Linked DNA regions of Rhinolophus ferrumequinum. The main gene of each other region encodes a partner of the protein of the gene in region 2 in a complex. Links are inferred from orthologs where the notes say so. Each region holds a gene or a part of one and is shown on either strand. Other genes may lie near its edges. The genes, in order: TAC1 and TACR1.

What was found.
Region 1: the proteins of TACR1 (region 2) and TAC1 are in contact, whole or in part, in a cryo-EM structure (PDB 7P02), measured with the Homo sapiens proteins. The link is inferred for Rhinolophus ferrumequinum from reciprocal best matches to the Homo sapiens genes TACR1 and TAC1. Residues at the interface, in NP_001049.1 of Homo sapiens: Gln24, Phe25, Asn85, Asn89, Tyr92, Ala93, Asn96, Trp98, His108, Asn109, Ile113, Gln165, Met174, Arg177, Val179, Cys180, Met181, Ile182, His197, Val200, Phe264, Phe267, Phe268, Tyr278, Leu279, Ile283, Gln284, Tyr287, Met291; in NP_003173.1 of Homo sapiens: Lys60, Pro61, Gln62, Gln63, Phe64, Phe65, Gly66, Leu67, Met68.

What each region holds. Positions count from the first base shown.
Region 1 is NC_046303.1:29,688,755-29,699,549, forward strand, and holds the start of TAC1 (protachykinin-1), read right to left. Parts: upstream 3,973-10,795; 5' UTR 3,876-3,972; coding exon 3,747-3,875; intron 3,718-3,746; exon of another isoform or gene 3,569-3,717; intron 3,323-3,568; coding exon 3,191-3,322; intron 2,125-3,190; coding exon 2,028-2,124; intron 1,550-2,027; coding exon 1,505-1,549; intron 1,015-1,504; coding exon 991-1,014; intron 1-990. UniProt on the Homo sapiens protein: Tachykinins are active peptides which excite neurons, evoke behavioral responses, are potent vasodilators and secretagogues, and contract (directly or indirectly) many smooth muscles.
Region 2 is NC_046296.1:16,982,079-16,992,407, reverse strand, and holds the start of TACR1 (substance-P receptor), read right to left. Parts: upstream 4,566-10,329; 5' UTR 3,759-4,565; coding exon 3,370-3,758; intron 1-3,369. UniProt on the Homo sapiens protein: This is a receptor for the tachykinin neuropeptide substance P. It is probably associated with G proteins that activate a phosphatidylinositol-calcium second messenger system.

The DNA.
Region 1 (10,795 bases), on a different chromosome or scaffold from region 2:
TACACAGGATTTTGCTATATATAATTCCCTAGAAAGTCAAATCCTTAGAAAGCAAATATGATTGATTTATATTCAAGGTTGAAGCCTTTGGAAAAGGTTATATTTTAACTCCAGTGGGAGAATGTATTTTGGTTTACACTGTATTGACAATCTTACTGTGGCCTACTCTGCCACCCAGTGAACCAAAATCTAAGTCAGGGTAAGAAAGTCGACAATACAATTAGGATGGAGCTCTGAGACTTTCTGTCAACTTGGTTCCATTAACTGGGAAACTGGGATCTAACGACCATCAAATGTCACAATTTTGCCATCTTCACTACCCTAAGAAATGCTTCACTGTGCTTTGATAGATTGAGGTTTCCCATTCAGTTATGGAATCGAAAAACTGCATTTCTATCTATCTACTTTTAATAAGGATTCTCTACTGAGACATTCAGTGGAGCCTCTTAATTGGCTGCTGAATTACCTTAATAAGTCAAGTCATCATGGCATCCAGCATACTCAACTGAGTTGGAAGATTCATATAAATATATATATGTGTGTGTATATATATATATATATTTGCAGTGGAACTGGTGGTTGTCACAGGTGGGGGAGAATGTGTGGTGGATTTATACTCCTAGGATTGAAATTCTTCTCTAAACTAGCAATTTATAGGCGTTAAAGGATTTTTTTTTATAGCAGCTTAAAACAATAACAAATATTTATTATCTCATAGTTTCTGTGAGTCAGAAATTCAGCAGCAGTTTACCTGGGAGTTAAAAGCTTTTTAACATAATGTATTATTTTGTTAAGTATGATATGTCTAAATAACAGAGCTTTAAACAGTCATGTTCTGGATATAAACATGAGTTCCTCCATTCTTATATTGTCTTAATTTAAAATATTAAGTCCCAAGTTGAAGCAGGAAATAAGATCAGGTGTTATATAAAGTGGAATTCAATCTTTTACATTTGTGTTTGATAAATGTGCAAATAATTTTGAACTTACTTTTATGAGAGATCTGGCCATGTCCTAGAAGAAAGAAAGATAAAATGAGCAAATGCAATAGATTTGTTTTAAAGAGGCTACATTATGTCTTTTAAAGAGAAATATAAAATAAGTTGATTTTTAAAATATGGAACATTGCCCATTCTTGTACTATCCTGAGAAATATAACAGAGCCATAAATGTTCACCAAATTATCGATAATAAAGCAAAATATTTTAACAAACAACACAATATTTTTAAGTGCTTTCTATAGGTCACAGATTCAAATCCAGGAGTATGAGTCTCCTGAGGCCTGCTAACAACTAGGCCATACCTCCTCTGTTTTCCTATAAGAAACACATCTTCAAGGATGGCTACGAATTAGACACTCAGGAGAGAGAGGGAGAGATACCCAAATCCATCTTTTTATTAAACAAACTTAGTCAAGAATCTGTATTTCAGCCTATAAAAGACATTTTCACTTTCCTACATATGTATTCACAATAGTAAAATAAAGATTTATAGAAATGTTTACCATAAAGAGCCTTTAACAGGGCCACTTGTTTTTCAATTGAGGAATCTGACAAGAGACAATTGACATTAACTGTTCACAGGTCCCACTGATGGTACATGAATTCAAAGAAAGTGAATATTTCTATCACTAGACAAGGGGCAGCTAAGTCTCTTCTAACCCCAATCGTCTATAATCAGCTTCCACATGCACTTAGACTAATCAGACTACTACTCCCTGAGGCTCCTGCTTGGTCAGTTTGGACCTTTAGTCCAGGGAGCTAAGGTTGGTTCCTGTTCTTGGTGGTTTGGTTACAACACTGTGAGGCATATGAAACAGATGTCTCCCTCCCTCCGCGGGCATGTGCGTGTGACAGTGAGGTGAGGGCAAGCGCCGCCCCAGGGGTGGGTGGGGAGGGGGAATTTCACCCCTTTTAGGCTAGAAATCTCTAGTCAAAGAGCCAGAGAGAGTGAGTGCCCTGAGAATGAGTGGGCAGACCCGGCGGATTGCCGGGAGAGATAAAGAGAGGGATGGCTGCCCATCTCACCAGCATCCCGTTTGCCCATTAATCCGAAGAACTGCTGAGGCTTGGGTCTCCGGGCGATTCTCTGCAGAAGATGCTCAAAGGGCTCAGGCAGCTCCTCCTGGGGGACAGACGTGCGAACAAATGGGCGTGTAGGCAACCGGCACGAGGCTCCCGGAAACCTGAGTCATTACCGTGGTGCGCTCCAGCCCTGGGCGAACCTCGGCGGCCCGCACTGGGGTCCGGTGGGGCCAGGACAGGGAAGCTGGCTCCACAGGCAGGCGAGAGGAGGCTTGGCTTACCCACGCCCGGCCGAGGGGGGTCCAGGACAGGGCGCCCCCTGCCTCCACCCCTCCCAGCGGAACTCCTGTGCAGCTCACTGCCTCCCCTAAACCCTTGCGAGTTTGCAGGAGGCTCGGTGTCTTTGAGCCCTGTACACTTTCCACTCTTTCTTCCCAGCCCGGGTCCCCTCCGTCATCTGCAGCGCAGCCACCAGACTTTGTCTTGCTCTGGCGCCGGCTTTGGAGACGCCTCGCCACTCTAAATGCACACAGGTGTGGTGTGTCTGTCGGGGATGAGTGGGAAAGGGTGACAAAGCTTTACAAGTGACCCGCACAGAGCGACGTTCCAGCGAGGCGCGCTCCCTTGTACCAAGAACCTGCGAGCCATGTAAAGAAAAACTGGCAGCTACGTGTTCAGGTCCGTAAAGTAAACGCCACGGCAGCACGTTAGCTTCCCATCCACCTCCGTTCATTTAAGTCCCCAGCAGCTCGCCCCTCGTCCCCGCTTCTGCCTATGTCCGGGGTGCGTTCCTTTACCCCGGCTCAGCGTTTCCAAACGCCAGGTCCTTGCAGCTGGACTGGAGTTCCCCGAAATCCCTGTTACCTGGGGATGAAACCTTTTGAGGTTTCCAGCCTTGTGAGGACCCCGGGCTCATCAGGAAGGGCATCATTGCTTCAGTGAGTTCCGGAGACCCGACCCGCAGCCCTCGGGAAGAAACTTGGAAGGTGGGCACAAAATCTCGTGCGGGTCCCAGGGAGTAGCTTCCTTTACATCCCCCCCCCCCGTGTGCCCCCACTGCCTGTGGTCGCGGTCGTAGTGCCCACCAGGCTAACTAGGGGTGGGGGGAAGTGACAGGTCCCAAGCCCAGGAAAAAGGACATGGGCCAGCTTGGGACCAGGGCTCACCTTGATCTGGTCGCTGTCAGACCAGTCCGACCAATAATTAAGATCATCACTGGCTCCGATTTCTTCTGCACACAGTTGAGTGGACACAAGAAGAACGACTGCCAAAGCCACAAGGGTTTTCATGTTGGATTTCTGGTCAGAGTGGGGAGAAGAGATCGAGGAGAGAAAAATACATGCATCGGGGGTGGCTATCCAAGAGTTGGAGCAGCAAAATTGTCGGTCCCACAACAGAACTAAGGGCAATTGAACCAAGATAAAAAGTCTAAGGGCTGAAGTCCCGCCTGTATCCTTTAGGAAAGATAACCATGCCCCAAAGCTTCTCGAATCCCCTTCTCCCTAGATCCCAACTCCCCCTGCCCCCGACCCACCAATCCACACCTTCAAGCCAGGAGTCTCCGCAGATGGAAGACAAAGAGGCACAGAGGCATTTGGAATACCTGTCTCCCTGCTGCACCCCCACTGTTTCTCGCCCCAGCTGGCCCATGCAGCTTTGTCAGCCGCCACTTCGGAGCGACGCGCGGCGCGGCGCGCCCCCCGGCAGGGCTCGGGCACTTACTGCTGCGGCCGAGCCCGCTGGGTTGCTCTGGCTGGTCTGAGCGCACGCGGGGCGCTCCACACTGGGTCGCTGTGGCGATGGAGGAGGAGGTCGCAGCGCGCTTTCTGCCGGCCTAGTGAGGTGCTGCATTTATCTGAGACTCCACGAGCCTCTAGACCCACGTGACTCGCTCCCCACGAGATTTTTCTGCTCAATATTTAATTAGCCGCCTCCTTTCGCTTGCGTCTGATTGAGAGTTTCCGAGACGGTAACCGGTCGGTGCCCATAATATCTGGACCCAATTGGGTTCGAAATGACGCAATTTTAGGAAAATCGAGATCTCGCCATCCAATCCCCAGGGGCCAGTCTTCTTCCGTCTGCAGATCTGACGCCCCCTCCCCTCTCCTTCTTCCAAACGGTGTTCCTTGACACTTGAGATTACTCATCAAAATTGAGCAAAGTGACTCATTCCTCGGACTTCGGCAACTTTTCCGTCCCTTGAGACGTCAGGATAAGTTGCACTTCTAAGGATGGGCAAATAACTTCAGGTATTAAGATCTTGTCGTCGGAAATCGTGCTAAGAAAGTAGGAGCACTTCAAATGGGGGAGGAGGGGTGGAAGGCATTTTTTCCACCTTCTGTTTCCATCTGCAGACTGTCTTACGTGTTTCTGAGATACAGCCTCCTTCCATGGGCAGAACATCCTTCTCCCATATCAGCTGGAATACCCGAATATCTTCAGCATTACAAAAGGATTTTTAGTCACCAAAGTATTTCAGAGGATGGATGCAGGTTTTGGAGAAAGGGGAATTTAAACGTGATACTGCAGGTAGAACTTTTATTTCAGTGCCATTCTAGGATATCTTTTGTTCCAAAATAGCTAAGTCCTATTCCTTGCCACATCCAGAAGCAGGGGGAAAGAGGATATTCAGCTTCTTCTCTCCTACCCTTTCTTGCTGAAGATTAAGAAACCGGCAAGATGGTACCAGATACTTACCGGGTGTCGCTAAACGACTGTAAAGATCATTCATAGATTTCTCCTATATCTGAAAACAAGTGTAGTGAAGATGCTAATTGCGTGGTCATTAACAATACGAAACTATTAGCCTAATAATATCTGTACAGAAATCACAGCTTTCCATGAGCCCATGGTTTGCCTTGCAGACACATTTCTTTCATCTCTAAATGAATTAAATGATGTTTCTTGGTGGAGATGTTTTCTCCTCTTTACTCAGTAAGTACTATATTTTGCAGCTAACTCCGATGTATTTAGTGTAATGCATAAAATAAATAATTTTCGCAACCCATATAAACCAGTAATTTTTTCCTCTAATATATGTTCTTTCTTACATAACCCTGCATTTTGAAATTCCCATGTGTCTCTCATTTCTTTAGGCCTAGCCTCACAACCAGAGGCATTCTATTTTTTGTTTTTATAAGTTTTTATATGGAAAATTATTATATTAAATATACAAAAGTAGAGAGAATCATCCACTTGAAACAATTTGCAAATTTTATCTAGAAATCCTTCCTATTTCACTTCCACTCAGATTATTTTGAAGCAAATCTCAGACATTTCAACTGTACATATTTCAGCATGCCTGTATATTTATATAATGGTAGAGATTTTAAAAATAAAAACAGAACCATGCCATTATTCCACCTAAAACAACACAAAATAATTCGTTACAATATTATATATCCAGTCAATGTTCAAATATTCCTCTTGTTTCAGAAATCCCTACCCCATACAGTTTACTAGTTGAAATCATACCCTGCACTTGGTTCGTATATCTCTAAAATCTCCCAGAAGCCATAGTTTATGGATAAAAGTAATCAATAAAGTGTACTACATTCTGGAGTTTACTGCTTGCCTCCTAATGGTTTCTTTTAACTTGTTCCTCTGTCCTGTTTCCTGTTAATTGGTAGTTGTATCTAGAAGCTTGATCCCCTGTAGGTTTGGTTTTTCTGACAAAGCTGCTTTGCACGTGTTGTTAGGAAACACATGATAACTGGTTGTTTCTTCTTTTGAGATGTTAGCAGTCTTTAATGATCATTTTCTAGATCTATTAGTTCATTAGTACTTTCAAAATAGTGTTATTCTGATTTTATCATTCATTCTTTATTGGTTAGCTGGACTATTTCTTCCATATAAAGAGAAACATTTTCTCTCAACAACTATTTAATTACTCCAAGACATTATAAATATAAGAAAGACGGGATAAGTGCTTGATTACTTCCTTTGACCAATTTTAAAAATGAGTTGGTAAATTAAAACATTCAAGCATGGACGTTTTTTCCAAAACTTTTAGGATGATTATGACCTCATGGAATTAAACATGTGAAGTATTTCAATCCTTTAAAGAAGGATAGAAGCAGGCCTTCTTCTAACTGATGCTCAAGTTATCCAGTTTCTTGGACCGTGGGTGACATTTCACATTGGTTCCTGAGACTTCTGATGTGTCTTGAATAGGCTTTAATGGCTGTCTTGTTTTTTGGTGAGACAAGATATGCCAGGTTTAAGTTGTGTATTTTCTTTCTCAGACCTGCAATTTGCATTTAAGGCACTCTCATTTCCTTTGTAGAAATGATAATTAGAGATTATAATCTGGGCATTGTGGATGCATATTACTACTGAGTACTTCATTGTTTCAAGACCTTTTCAATGAATAGAACTGGAAATGTTTGTGTGTAAAATCATAACTGTATATTGACACTTCCTCTGCAAATCAGGATACCATAGTCTCTTTCCTTAACCTCTTCTGTTTTGCATCTATTCTATCCTGCCAAAAAAATTCCAGCTCCCAGTGACGTCAACATAATTACTCATTAGCTTTATCCCAATGCATAATGCCAACATGATCAACAATATGATTATTAGAAACAGATTAATAGTTTTTATTTGCATGTCTTTATCTTTAGGCTATATCACACTAGGTATGTTCAGTCCATTTACTATATTTTAAAGTCACTTTAAAAGTTCTTCTCTGTATAGTTATGCTACTAACTCTTAAACACATAGGTTCATTTGATCATTTTGATTTTGAGTTTTAGGGACTGCTTTTTAAATTGAACATTATGTAAAAATACATAGTTCCAAACTCAAATATTCAAAACATAATGCATTCAGAGAAGTGTAGCTTTAATTTCTGTCCCTCCAACCTCTTCCTTCTAGTAGCATTTCTTTTCAGTTTTTTAGTTTATCCTTCTATTATTATTGTTATTGTTATTGTTGTTATTTTTATTTTGACATAAGCAAATATATGTTCATATCCCTCTCCACACTCTAAAATTCCACACGTAAAGTGGGGTATTTTAGATTAATTTTTTTTTTGTTGTTTCTCAGTTGCTGATGTGGTTTATAAGGTAACAATAAAGATGGCTATTTCTTCCCTGTTAGCTCAATGTCACCAGGTGTATAATTCTAGTCAGGTGCCATACGTTGTAAATATGCCACAGTACACAAAACACAGGGTGTTTCATATACTTGAGTAATAAATAATAATGAGATAAAATTGGTTAAAGAATACTTTTCTCACTTTTTCCATGTCATTCGTTAATTGCTAACTTAGTGCTCCTAGTCTGATCATGCCTTTACTGACACGCTTTGTCCTTGAACATTGCGGGTTTGGAACATTTATATTCTTTATGGTTTTCTTTGGAATATTTATACTCTTTATTTGTATTTTATTTATTATTTGGGATATTTATACTCTTTATTTGTTTTATTTCCCAGAACATCAAATTTATGAAAAAATATATTAATAAAATACATATGCATGAGAAGTAAAATGGTGAAAAAGTAAATAGTTAATAAATCATTTTTTATGTTTGTAAATTAAAAAAACTGCAGAAAATTACAAAGAAAAAAATTAATATTATCCATTTTCTCATAAGCCAGAACAAACCACTGTTAACATCTTGATATACTGCTTATAATTTTTTAATGGGAAAATAGTCACCTGATTGTTTTTGTAAAATAAGATACAATCTTTATAGAAAAACAAAGCAATGCAGAAAAGTACAATAATGTATTTCTTTTTCATTATTGCAAATTCAGAAATTGCCATCCTTAGCATTAAGAGAACATCATTGTGAATATCTTTCCATGCATATTATATGGTTAGAAGAATAGAACAGTAGACAGATAAGTAAAAATTATGAAAACAGGATGAGACCATCAAAAATATTTTTAATGAAAGATATTTATATTTTGTTTGACTTTAGCAGTAGAAAAACAAAAAAAAAGTGAAAAATGTTTCTTCACGTGATATTTTTTCTTCAAAAGAACCCGTTAATGTTAAAAAACAAGACTTAGAAATAAACATTAAGAAGCTAGCATGTAACATTAAAAAATAGACATTTAGATAATATCTCTTTATTCCCTGTTTTGAAAGATGAGGACATCAGCACTCTTAAACTTTCTCCCATTTCCCCTTCTCCTATCTCCCCATTTTGATAGTTACATGATTATTTTAAAATTATTCAGGTTTATAATACTTAGATTTAGTTTTGCTACCATACTTTTATTAGTATTTGAAATGTCTACTATTCAGCCTGTATTTAAACAGTTTCACTGTTCACTACCAGTTTTTTGTTTGTTTGTTTGTTTGATTTTTAGTTTCAGGTGTACAAAACAATGTAATAGGTAGACACACTACTGAGCTTTGCCATTCTCAAGTTTATTTTTAATCGTCTCTTATTTGGCTGGAAGTCACTGTCAAGCAAATTTTTTTCCTCAGGAAGAAATGACACATATTGTGTTCCCTGAGTTCTCTCATGCTAGTGAATATCTGTCTGTGGCTTCTAAGCTCAAGGGACATCTAGATTAGTTGTAATACTTTAAAGTTAAATTTTATTTTTCACAGTACTTTATGGATATTTCTCCATTGTCCTGTGGAACTGAATGTTATGGAGAATTCTGAGGTGGGACAATTTTTCCCTAAGCTTGTATGTAACTTGCTTTTTTGCCTGACTATCTGAGGAATTCTTTCTTTATTCTTGACATTTAATAGTTTAATTAGGATATGTCTTGTTGTTAGTCATCCTAAATCTGATTTTATTGGAGTTTCATGAACTGTTTTTGTTTTGCAAATTATTCTCTTTCTTCATTTAGGAAAATTCTATTGTATTAGGTCTTTAAATATATCTTTGAAGTGGAAATTTCATTTAAAGAATGCTATGGTCTTTTTCTTTGGATCATAATATATTTTATATTATATATAAATATTGTAATATGTTGATATCTCATGTCTATAATATTCTTCCAAATTGCTTTAATTCTTTGCCCCTTTCATCTGTATTCACTTAGATTACCTTAAGTCTTTCCTTTTTGGGTCAGTAATTCACCTTTGTTTATTCTGTACCTTGCCGTTTCTAATTTACTTATTATTTCCATAATCATGTTGCATATTCCCCTACTTGTTCTCATAGACTAGTATTTTCCTTTTTTGTCTCATTTAATTACTTTATTATTTTATTGGTATGCTCTTATTTTATTGCATTTATGTTCTTGTTAAGATGTTCTTAGCGTGAAGTAATTGAGGGAATTTCTTTCTGTTTCCTGAGTTATATTTTTTTCTGGTTTAATGGTAAATGCATGAGTTTTGAGCAAGTGCTACCAATTTTAATACTGGCATAGCCACTTTCTAGTCATGTGGGCTTGGACAAGTTACTTAAGCACTCTGCCTCAATTTTCTAATCTGCCAAATAGTATAAGAAATAGTACTTACCTTATAACATTGCTGTGGCAATTAATTGAGTAAATACATGTGAAGTATAAAGAACAGTGCCTAGCACATGCAATGAATGTTTATTATTATTATTCTAGGTGGCTGTGTGTGTGTGTGTGTGTGTGTGTGTGCGCGCTAATGGTTAATTTTATCTGTCAATTCAACTAGGCTTATGTTGCCCAGTTGTTTGGTCAAACACCACTGTAAATATAGCTGTGAAGGTATTTTTAAAGATGTGATTAATATTTAAATCAGTAGACTCTGGGTAAAACCACTGCTTTCCATTATGTGGGTGGGCTTTATCTAATCAGTTGAAGATTTTAAATGAAAAAGACTGAAGTCTCCCAAGGAAGAAGGAATTCTGCTCCAGACTGCCTTTAGACTCAAGACATCAACTTTTTGCTGAATTTCCAGACTTCTAGGCTGCCCTGCAAATTTCAGATTTGCCAGACTCCACAATTGTAAGACCTAATTCCTTAAACCCTTAATTGATTCCTTGAAATGAATCTCTCTCTCTTTGTACACACACAAGCACACACCACACACACATCTTATTGATTCTGCTTCTCCAGAGAATCCTAATACAGTGTGTAATATATTTGCATTGTTTCTGGGCTACTCTTTCCATCTTGAGATTGCTTGGGTGGCTCTGGGCAGACAGAATAGGAGTGAATATTTGACTCTGCTCCTACAATTTTGGAGATTTTATTTTCACTCTGAGGGTTAGGTGTTTTGTATTCCATTCACTTTTTTTTAGCCTGAGGTAATGAAAGAGGGAAGGGAAACTTGGATGAGGTGCAGTGCAGTCTGGATACCTAGACTCTGCTCTTTCTTCGGAGATTTTATGCAGTGTTTTGTTTCACATCAGTTGCCTGGTTGGAGGGTCTGTTCCTTTCTTGTGAGGGACTCCCTTGGAATTTGATTTCAGTGTGGGTGGAGAGCCTCCCTCCATTCCCTTAAAGAGTCAACTCAGTCAGTCTTTCTTGGTATCACTAGTTTCTCTCAGCCATTTGTTTTCCTTGCATTTTGGAAGAAAATGATAACGCCCACTAAGTTTTCTTTTCTCCATGTGGAGCATCATTGAGAATTTTCAGAATTTTGTCAACTTACCAATAAAACATTTGGAAGGTAATGGCATAAACCGGGAAGTAATGGGCCCTTTTGCTTTGCTACACAATTTTCTGTTTCTTTCATTGGCAATGGGTTGTTGAAGATTTTTAATTAGATTGTAACTCTTGATCGGTTTGGTTGCTGATTGTAGATTTTAATTTTTTCTGGAATTAACAATTTTCACTTTTTTTTGTAGGTGTTTGAGAAGGCCTAGAATAGTACCATGTTC
Region 2 (10,329 bases):
ATAATGCATCCATTAAAAGTGCTATTTTGAAAATAGTTCATGACATGGAAAATACCCATGACATGATGTTAAGGAACAAAACAAAAAAACAAAAACAAAAAAGCAGCTATTGACATTGTTTTTATCATGATCCAAAATTTGTCCTTAAAAGTATGAGTGACTGCATGTGGCATAAATAACACAGAAAAAGTAAGTACAAGCTAGCATTCCAGGATTTTAACTGGTTAACTGTCCAAAGTGGGATTGTAGATGATTTTTACATTTTCTCTACAATTTTATGTATTTTCCAAATGTTTTTCTAGGAACATGTATTATTTTATTCATTCATTCACTTATTCAATAAACATGTAGTGATTGTTAGATGCCAGGCACTCAGCTTTGTGCTGAGGAAATAAAATAAACAAGACAGAATAGACATGTTCCTTGCTCTGCTCAGAGTTTATAATCCTTTAAATTTAGGAGGAAATGTTTTTTAAAAATTCATTTCATTTGACCCAGTAATTCCACTTCTGGGAATCTACCCTAAGAAAATAATCAAGAACACAAAACAAAATTATCATACAGAAATGTTTATTAGTTTATTAGTCATAATAGCAAAAAAAAGTCTAGAAACCACCTAAATACCCACCAGTAGAGGGATGCTTAAAGTAATAATAGCACATTCATATAATGGAATATTAGGAAGACATTAACATTATGTTACTGAAGACTTTTTAATAAATTAGGAAAATGTTATTAATGTTTTCCATTAATATCAATGGGAAAAAGTAAGTTACAAAATTATATAGAGTCTGACTTCAATTATGTAGTGTAATAGTCATAAGAGAGAAATTCAAATGTTAACAAGTGTTATTTTTGCATAGGGAAGTAATGGTTGATTTGTAATTTTGTTTCTACGCTCTTCATACTTCCCAAATTTTTCTACAATGAACAAGGTTTAATTTTATCATCTGGAAAACCATCTTGCTTTCATTTTTAAAGACTGGATTCAAAGATTACCTGTTAAAAATTCAAAGAACATACAAAAAGATAGCTTAACCTTTTTTCAAAGCCCGCATTGCCATGGTGGAGAAAGGAGAGATCATTCAAATGGAGAGAGCTTAAGGCTCCTTCTTTATGAAAACATTCTTGGGAGAGAACAGATGACCACAAATACAGGGGGAGCTACATTCCTCAGAGGGGCTGAGGGGGCTAATTCACGGATTCCTCAATGAGGTGAGCAAGGAAAAATAGAAGGAGCCCTGAGAGACCTTGGAGACACAGCCCCAATGCCGCCGACACTGGATCCCTAACTCTACCTTGAACTTTAACCTTGAGCATGTCGTTGATAATCTCCCTGGGCTGTTCTGTACATAAGAGACATGGGGACATTTCTCGCTGCTGTCATTTCCCTCAGCTTTGGCACCAGAGATCCTCCGACCTCACTGAGCAGGACACACCAGGTCAGGGTCCTGTCTGTGGTTTGCCTAGAGAAAAACAGTGGAGCCTGAGATGCCAGAGTCCAGGCAGCTGAAATCTGGTTTTCTGCCCGATCCACTGTGAAGACTTTGACCCTGACTCTTGTCCTTAACCTTCTAAGTTCAAGGGAAAGAGCAGGGCTGTGGAACATGTCAGTTCTGTGTAAGCCAAAGTGAAAGGGCCATCCGCTGGGGCTCATGCTGATTGACAGGACTCCTGAGCTCCAACAAGGCCCCAACGAAGTACAAATAACAATTTTCCCTGTAATTTAGGGATCATTGAGAGAGCATGTGCAAGGCTCCAGTTTTCATCGTGCCTATATTCAGTTATAGATCACACTAAGGGGTTTCTGAGTTTAAGGGGGTTGCAGTGAAGTTAAAGAAGCAAGTCAGTGCAGACAGATTTACAACTGTACCTCACTCTCAGCAAACTGAGTATCTGCAAACTAGAGTAGCGTAAATGATACATTTACAAAGAATTCATTTCACTACCACTTTGTGTAATTGGTTTGCCTTCCACACTTAAAATATAACTGATTCACCAGAACTTGTCTTACACACAACATATCAAGCACATAAGAGTTGCATAAAGGGAAGTATACATGGGACTTAAAATTCAGCATGTGGATACCACTGCAAAGGAAACATAACTTTCTCGGATCTTACAAGTGTTCATTCACTAAAGAAGCTGAAAAAGACCTCAAACCAATTGGAAATCGTAAACAATCTTTATGCAAAAGCATTTAGCAGTTTGGGAAAAATTGTTTTGAAGTTTTTCGCCTAGCTCCTTCTTTGGGTTTCTCACATGCATTTATCTCAGCAAGGCCATCAAAGAACCCTCTTTTAAATCACAGTGGCAGGTGTTTCAAACATATCTCCACATCCCTGGTAAACATTTAACACTTATGTCCATGTAAACATACACACAACAGACCTAGGACATCCACAAAAAAATCAATACAAATATAGCTGTGCTCTAATAATCAATTTTCCACCACGCCATCTAAGGGTGCATTCATTCCAAAGCGCTAGCCTCAGTATTTAAAAATGCCAACCTTTTCACTTTCAATCAGGCTTGGAAACCCTAACCTGTTCGTTGCAGGAAAGAAAGAGCTCTCAATTGCCTCCGCCAAGCATGTTTCTCTGTGGATACATACAGGCTAAAAACATTGACTTCACATTACAAGGGAAATTTAGAAAAACTCCTGGATAAGCTCCCTAACTGTGGAGTTCCTTAAGGACAGCATAGCTGCCTCTCATTCCTGAATGAGAATTCCTAGCAGTGAAGAGGGAGCTGAATTAGAGTTCTGAGTAGTTATGATTCTATTGAAATGCTCTTCACATCCAAATAATATTGGAAAGTTGAGGTGGGAGCAGAAAGTCCCTGCATCTTCAGGAAAAAGTCCAAAATGAGAAATTGTTGCCAGGTGTACTTAAAACTGGAAGGCACCAAGAGGCTGCCCAAGAAAAGCAGGCATACAGGGGTTTACAGAGCCCAAGACAGGGGCCGGCCCCTCGGCCAAGCCTTGGGTATCCCCTTCAGGCTTTCAGGGCAAAGGAGAGAAGGAATATACAGAAAGAAGCAAAGCAGGAGTTGAAAGGAAAGTGTCTGAGAGAGGAGTGGAGAAGGGATGAAGAAAAGAGGGTTAAAGGAAATAAAAAAGGGAGCATGTGAAAAAAGGAAGGATGACTGATGATGGGTGAAAAAGGGGAGAAAAGGAAAGAGGAAATAGAGTAGAAAATGGTGATTAAGACTAAGTCCCCCATCAACAACTGGCTGCCAGCAAAAACCCCAGGGTCCAGGGTAACCACCCTCCAATTTGAACCAGACAGAACCCAACCCCGCTTCCCCATAGCAAAGCCATCGTCCTCTGTGGACACTTTCTTCAGTTTCCACCAAGGGCAAGCTCACCTATCCAAGGCGACAGCCGTCATGGAGTAGATACTGGCAAAGACCGCAGCGATGGGGAAGAAGTTGTGGAACTTGCAGTAGAACAGGCCATAGTACCACTCATTGTGGACAGCATAGGTGAAGTTTACCACCGTGTTGAATGCAGCCATGGAGGCCTCCGCGAAGGCCAAGTTCACCAGGAAATAGTTGGTGACTGTCCTCATTCTCTTGTGGGCCAAGATGATCCACATTACCACCACGTTGCCCACCACAGAGGTCACCACGATGACTGTGTAGGCAGCTGCCCAAAGGACAATTTGCCAGGCTGGCTGCACAAACTGGTTTGGCTCCGAGGTATTGGTGGAGATGTTTGGGAAGAGGTCTGAGTCAACTGGGAGGACGTTATCCATTCCTCAGCTAAGCGGTTAAGCTGTCCCCTCGGTACACGCACCTACGTTGCAGCAGGGTCCCGAGGCCAGTACCTGGGATCAGGGTCTTGCTTAACCAAGACAGGAGGGCTGCAAGCTCGTTTGGGCAGAACTCTTTGCTTGCAAGTAGGAGACTTGGCGCTAGGAAGATGAATGCTTCTGATGCGCTGTCTGCCCCTCTTGGCTCTGAATTCCCCCACTTTCAAGCTTCAGGAAGCATTTGAGTCCAGAAATCTGGAGACAGCGTCTCTCCTGCGTTGGACTGAAAACGGGAAAGAAATCGCGAGGGTCACGGTTCCAGGAAGCAGGAGACCCTTGCCTTTCTACACCTGCTGCTGTTTGTAACTCCAATCCCACCTGCCCGCAGCTGGGAAGGCAAAGCTCTGTGTTGCGTGAGGACTTGGGAGCCAAGGGGGTGCTCGTCACAACGCGACCTGCAAAAGTTCAGAGTCTAAGGCCGAGATTCTGGGGACCCGTGTCCAGCTGGAAATTTTTCCTTTGCTTTCGCCGCCGCCGCCGGGGCTGCTGCCACCGCCGCCGCCGCCACTGCTTGCAGCTTCGCAGCCGCCCCTTGGCTCGGGTCCTCTACGGCTTGTGAGTTAGCTGAACCTCGGCAGGCTGAGAGCGAGGTTTTTTATAACCCGCTGCAGAGACGTCACCGGGAAGGGGCAGTACCTGGGCTGCGTACTCGCCAGACCCGCTGCGCAGCGCGGCAGCTGCACCAGCTGTTGGCAACTGTCTCACTCCAGCGTCGCAGCCACCACGCCTTTTGCAGCTACCTGCTGTGGGAGTCCGCAAACCGGGCGTCCCACGCACTCCGCCAGGGGACGCTAGGTGGCCTCGGAGTAATTGAGCCAGCTGGGGTCTGCAGCTGGAACCCAGATGCACCAAAGGGAAAGGAGGGGTTGGCGAAATAGCTGTGGTGATGGGCTCTCAACTTCCTGGGAGGGCAGCTCTGAGCGCTGCGACAGTTCTGCAGAGGCGCCTGCCTGTGGTTGCGGGAGTTGGGCACGTGTAGGGGGCGGCATGCCAGCGCGGCTCTCCGGGCAGCACTCTAGCCCGCGCTCCAGTTCGAGTGAACCTCGGGCTTGTTCTGCCCGCTACCGAGAAGCGAGAGGCGACGACACCCGGTTCCAGGTGTCCGGAAAGGAACTTTGCGGAGGTAGTGTTCAGGAACACCCCTAAAATACCTAGCTTCTTTTCCTGGCTTGCCGATTTCCTTGGGAAGCTGGGATAGGTTCTAAGCTTTGGGGACACAGCCCCCGCCACTCTGGTGGCTTGGCCCTTGGCTCCATGAAAAGCTCCAGCTGATCTCTCCAGATGAGACCCGCGTCAGGCAATGAGGGCTGGCTGGGTTCCCTTCGAAGCTTGGTAAGCTCAGGAGTCACCCATAAGCAGTGTGTCGCCCAGATGCGCGGCTCTGGGCTCTCTCTGCCATCATTCACTGCATTCGCCGCCTGGGAACCTGGCAGCCTCTGCCTCCGCGCCTCCCGGGCCTGCGGGCCGGAGCGGGGACCTGGGTGGCGTTGGGGGCTCTTCCGCCCAGGTTTGCATAGGGACTGGAAAGGGTAGCTCTGCCCCTCTTTTCTCCCCCCTCCATCCCTATCACTCCTCCCTGGCGGGCTTCGAAGCCTGATCTCCCAGCCCAAGGCCACATCAAACGGCCGAGCGGGTGCCGGCCACTGGCAGGAGGTGGGAAGGACTCGCCAGACGTTGCAAACCGTTTTTGGAGACGCTCAGATGGACTCAGGTTCGGAGCGGGTTCCAGCCAGACTGCCAAGGAGATGTGGTTCCGTGGGGACTCGAACCTGCAGGCTGTTTCTGGGAGCCACCTACCCCTCTGCCCGCGACCCTCCCCTGCTTCACTGAGAGGACTCGCAACTGGGGGACGCCGACCCGGAGTAACACCGGGGGCTCGGGTCCGCGCAAGCACTCACTCTCCCGGAGCGGCGTTTGCGCATTAGTCCTGCTTGCTTGCGCGCTTCTACCACGAGCGCGCAAAGTATGTCGTGGGAAGCTCTTTAAGGCTTAGACATTTATTGCACCGATTTATGCCTGGCTAAAATCGGATCCTCTCTCAGGGCTGGGATATCTGCTAGTTCACTCTGTTTTTGTTGAAGCCTGGAATTTCATTGTTTATATGAACCGCACTTTGCACTGCCGGTTCCTCCAGGCACCCCTAAACCCAGTGATGCCTTGAAGAGAACAGCTCCCCCTCATTGGGAGAGGGGGGCGGAGCAGCGAAGGGATCGCCTTCTCTACCACCCTGGACCTCTCATTGCTCCTTCCACCATCTCGCAAAGCTGAGGGAGAGTGTGTGCGTATGCGTGTCCACCTTTAATGTTTCCTCTCTAGCTGTATAAAGCTGTCTTTCTCTCTTTCTTCTGGTTCAGGGGCAGCAGGCTGACATTCTCTAAAGGAACTTGACTCGATGCTTAAGGGGGAAAAATACTAAGCTAAAAAATAAGGATTTATCCATTTATCCTCCATTAGTAGAGCACGTCCATGTCTTGAGCCAGGTACTGTGCTGGAGATACAGCCGGGCAAACACAGTCTAGTGAGGGAGAAAGAGACAATTACGCAAACTGGCAGTATTATGATGAGCAAAGGTATTAGGCTCTGCTTGAGAGGAGAAGAGGCGGTGGGGGTGGGGAGAGTACCTAACCTTGACAATGAGGGGAATCAGGGAGGAAGGTAGAAAATCGTATCAGTGGAGAAGCCTGGAGAATATGTTAAGGATGAGAAGTGGAGGGTGAAATAGAAGAGAATATTCCAGAGAGACGTTTTATGTCAAACCATGTCACTTTGCGTAACTGCGTAAGTGAGGACAGCCCAGCTCTCTTAGAAGAACACCTACATTCCTTACTCTGACTTTCACAGGTCTTCATTTCCTGCCCTGACTTGTGGATGAAGCTAGCCTGGGTGACTCTCTTTCCTGCTCCTGGTTCTCCCTGGCAGGTAGCCATGTCCTAGAAATATATGTGACTTGCTGGAGTTAATTTCTTTCACACACACACACACACACACACACACACACACACACACACACACACACACACCCAAAGGATATTTATGATGGGTTCACATTTTTAAAAAGCCTCAGCCATACAGTAGCAGAAAGTATCCTTGGTTTACACCCATGCTGGGTGGAGGGACCTTCTCAAGCATTGTCCCTTCTAAAGAGACTTTCTTCCCCACATAGGGAAAACTTTGCACAAATGTATAGATAAGATATTATAGATATGCTTTTCTCCTCCAAGAGTTGCTATTTTTTCTCTTATTCTTTTTTCTTTAACTCCTCTTTCTACTGAACTTCCTCCTTGGCACACAACACAGACACACCAGTCTCACAGCAAATCTGTTGATAGCCTAGGATAAATCCTTCCTTATTTGTCTAGGTTCTTTAATACAATAAAAAAGAAATACCAACACACAATACCCACACATGTAAGTGTATACAAATATAGGACTTTCATTATTGTCTGAATTTTGTTTTTCTCACTCAAAATATTGTCTGGATGCTTCAGAGTCAACAAAGAGAGATTTAACTCATTCTTTTCAATGGCTAAATATTATTCTTGCGTTATGGATGCACCATAATTTATACACTCCTTTCCCTAATCATAAAAATTCACTTTGCTTCCAGTTTTTGCTACTAAAAACAATGCTGCAATATACATTTTTACATAGGTCTCCACAATCATGTTTTATTTCTATGGGATAGATTTCAAGAGGAATTGCTAGGTCATGGATTATATTTATATCCATATGTACGTGTGTGTGTTGTATATTCCTATTTTTGTTTAATGTTGCCAGATTGCCTTCTAAAAGGGTGTAACACTGTTATATTTCACTAGCAATTAAATTACCCTTTTCCCCACATCTACTCCAGTAATAAGTATTAAAGGTCTTTTTAGTTTTGTCAGTCTAAAGTATGTAAAATATGATAGCATTGCTAATACATAGTGTTTATTTTCCTGACTACTAGAGAATTTGAACTTTTTATAAGATTTTTTTTGGCTATGTGGATTGTCTCTTCCATAAATTGCTTATTTACATCTCTTGTCCCTTTTTCTGTTGGATATCTTTCCAGTCATTTTTTGTAAAATAAGTGCTTTTTGTATATTATAGGTGCAAACACTTTGCCCGTCATGAATATTTCAAATACTTTTTCTAATGTAAAAACTTAAACAATTTTTATGTAGTTTGCATTTGCTTTAATAGCATTTTGGTTTTAAAACATCTCCCCAAATCCTGGCTTTTTTCACATAGTCTCCTAGATTTTCTTGGAAGCTTTTCATTGTTTCATTTTTTAAATTTAGTAAAATGTAATTCACCTGGAGTTTGTTATTTTATATTATGTAAAATATTTACTTTTACTTTTATAGCTCCATCCATTTTCCCAGGGAATTCAACCATTATCCTTGTCATTAATTAAAATTTCAAATATGTGTGATTTAATATTTATATTCTCCAGTCTTTTCCACTGATTCACTTGTCTACTCGTATAACAAAACTACACACACACACACACACACACACACACACACACACTATCTTACTCTCCTTAGCTCCCTTGCAATCAGGCAGAGCCTTGTGACTAATTCAACCAGTAGATTTTGAATGGAAATGATATGTGTCACTTCTTGAGTGAAGCATAGAAGTGTGTGTGTGTGTGTGTGTGTGTGAGAGAGAGAGAGAGAGAGAGAGAGAGAGAGAGAGAGAGAGAGAGAGAGAGAGAGACTTCTTCATGTATTCTCTCCTGCCGAGTCCCAAATGATGCAGCTACAAGATGACAGGTCTTGATCACTGTGATTTCCCAAATGACTATACATAGGCCCCTGCTAAGTCATTATGGGCGTACATGTAGCGCGAGCAAGAAACAAATTCTGGTTGTGTTAAAGCATTAGGGCTTGGGCTTCATTTGTTACCTACTGTGATACAGCTTATTCTGACTAATACAGAAGTAAAATATTCTGGTATCTGGTAAGGCAAGTTCACCTGACTGCTCATTTCATACTTTTCTTATCTATTTTGGGGCATCACATTTAAACTTTAACTCAATTTTTAAAAGCCTGAACAAACTGCATTAGCACTCTAAAAGAAACTGCCTGGAATTAATTTAATTTTCACAACATTGACATTTCTATATTAAGTTTTTTCATCCAAGAACGTGGTATGCCTTTCTATTGTTTCAAGTCTTGTTTTATGCCTTTCAAAAAGATTTTATAATTTTGGTTAAAATAGATCCAGTCTTTTGATTAAATTCATTTCTACGTATTTTGTAGTTGTTTTTCCTATTGTAAATGAAATATTTTTTCCTTTTTTATCCTAGATCGAAGAAAACCTATTTACTTCTGTGTATATGTATTTGTGTGAGTATGTGTGTGTTCTAGCCATTTCACTACACTTTTCATTCATTCTATAGTTCTGTGTTTTTTTTTTAACTAAAGTTTATTGGAGTGACAATTGTTAGCAAAGTTACATAGGTGTACAATTCTGTAATACGTCATCTATATATCACATTGTGTGTCACCACCTAGAGTCAGTTCTCTTTCCATCACCATATATCTGATCCCTTTTACTTGAGTTGCCTTAGTTTTCAATCACATTACTAGCATTTTCTTGTCTCACTGAATTTTCATTAACTTCCAAGACAATATTAAATTAAAAATGATGACAGCAGGTATTTTCTTATAGTTTCTGAATTTAATTAAGATGGCTTTAGTTTTTACCATTTAGGATAATTGTTGTTACATTTGATAACAAGTCTTTTATGTTTAAATAGTTCCCTTCTACTTTATTTTGCCTTGAAGTTTTAATAGGAATGTCTTGTAATTTCTTTTATTTTTAAATGCCTTTTTCAGGATTTGCTGATATGAGTGTGTGATTTTTTTCACTAATTTGTTGCCATACTGGATTAAGTGGATAGACTTCCTCACACTGGCCTAAACATTGACCATCCTAGCATTCCTGGGATAAATTCTGCTGGGCCAGAGGCTGTATCATTCCTTTGATATATTGCTGGATTCTACTTGTTAATGTTTACTTTAACATATTTGCCCCTATTTTTCTAAGTGAGATTGATGTATAGATTTTTTTTCCTTTTCTATCTTGATCAGGTTTTAATATTAGTGCTATGCATCAAAAAATGAATTAGGAAGGATTTCATCCTTAACTATGGCCAGAAATATGAGTCCTGATCCCTGAACCAGCTAGTTGGAAATGCAAATTCTTGGGCCAATACAGAACTACTAAACTATAATCTGCATTTAAAGAAGACCCTAGGTGATTTGTATGCACGTTAAAATTGGAGGAGCTTAAAATTGGTCTAGTGTTTTCCAATTGCTCAGAAGACAAGAATCTCTTGTGTTACTTGTTATGTAAACATCAGTTATTATCATGTTCCTCTGATAATTCCGATTTTGTAGGCTTGGGATGGGGCTCAGTAATCTGTGTTTTTACCACGTATCCATGGGTCAGTCTTCTCTTCAAGCAAGTTTTGGAAATGTGTGGGCTTAAAATTTTTAATTCCAGCATGAAACCAGATGAG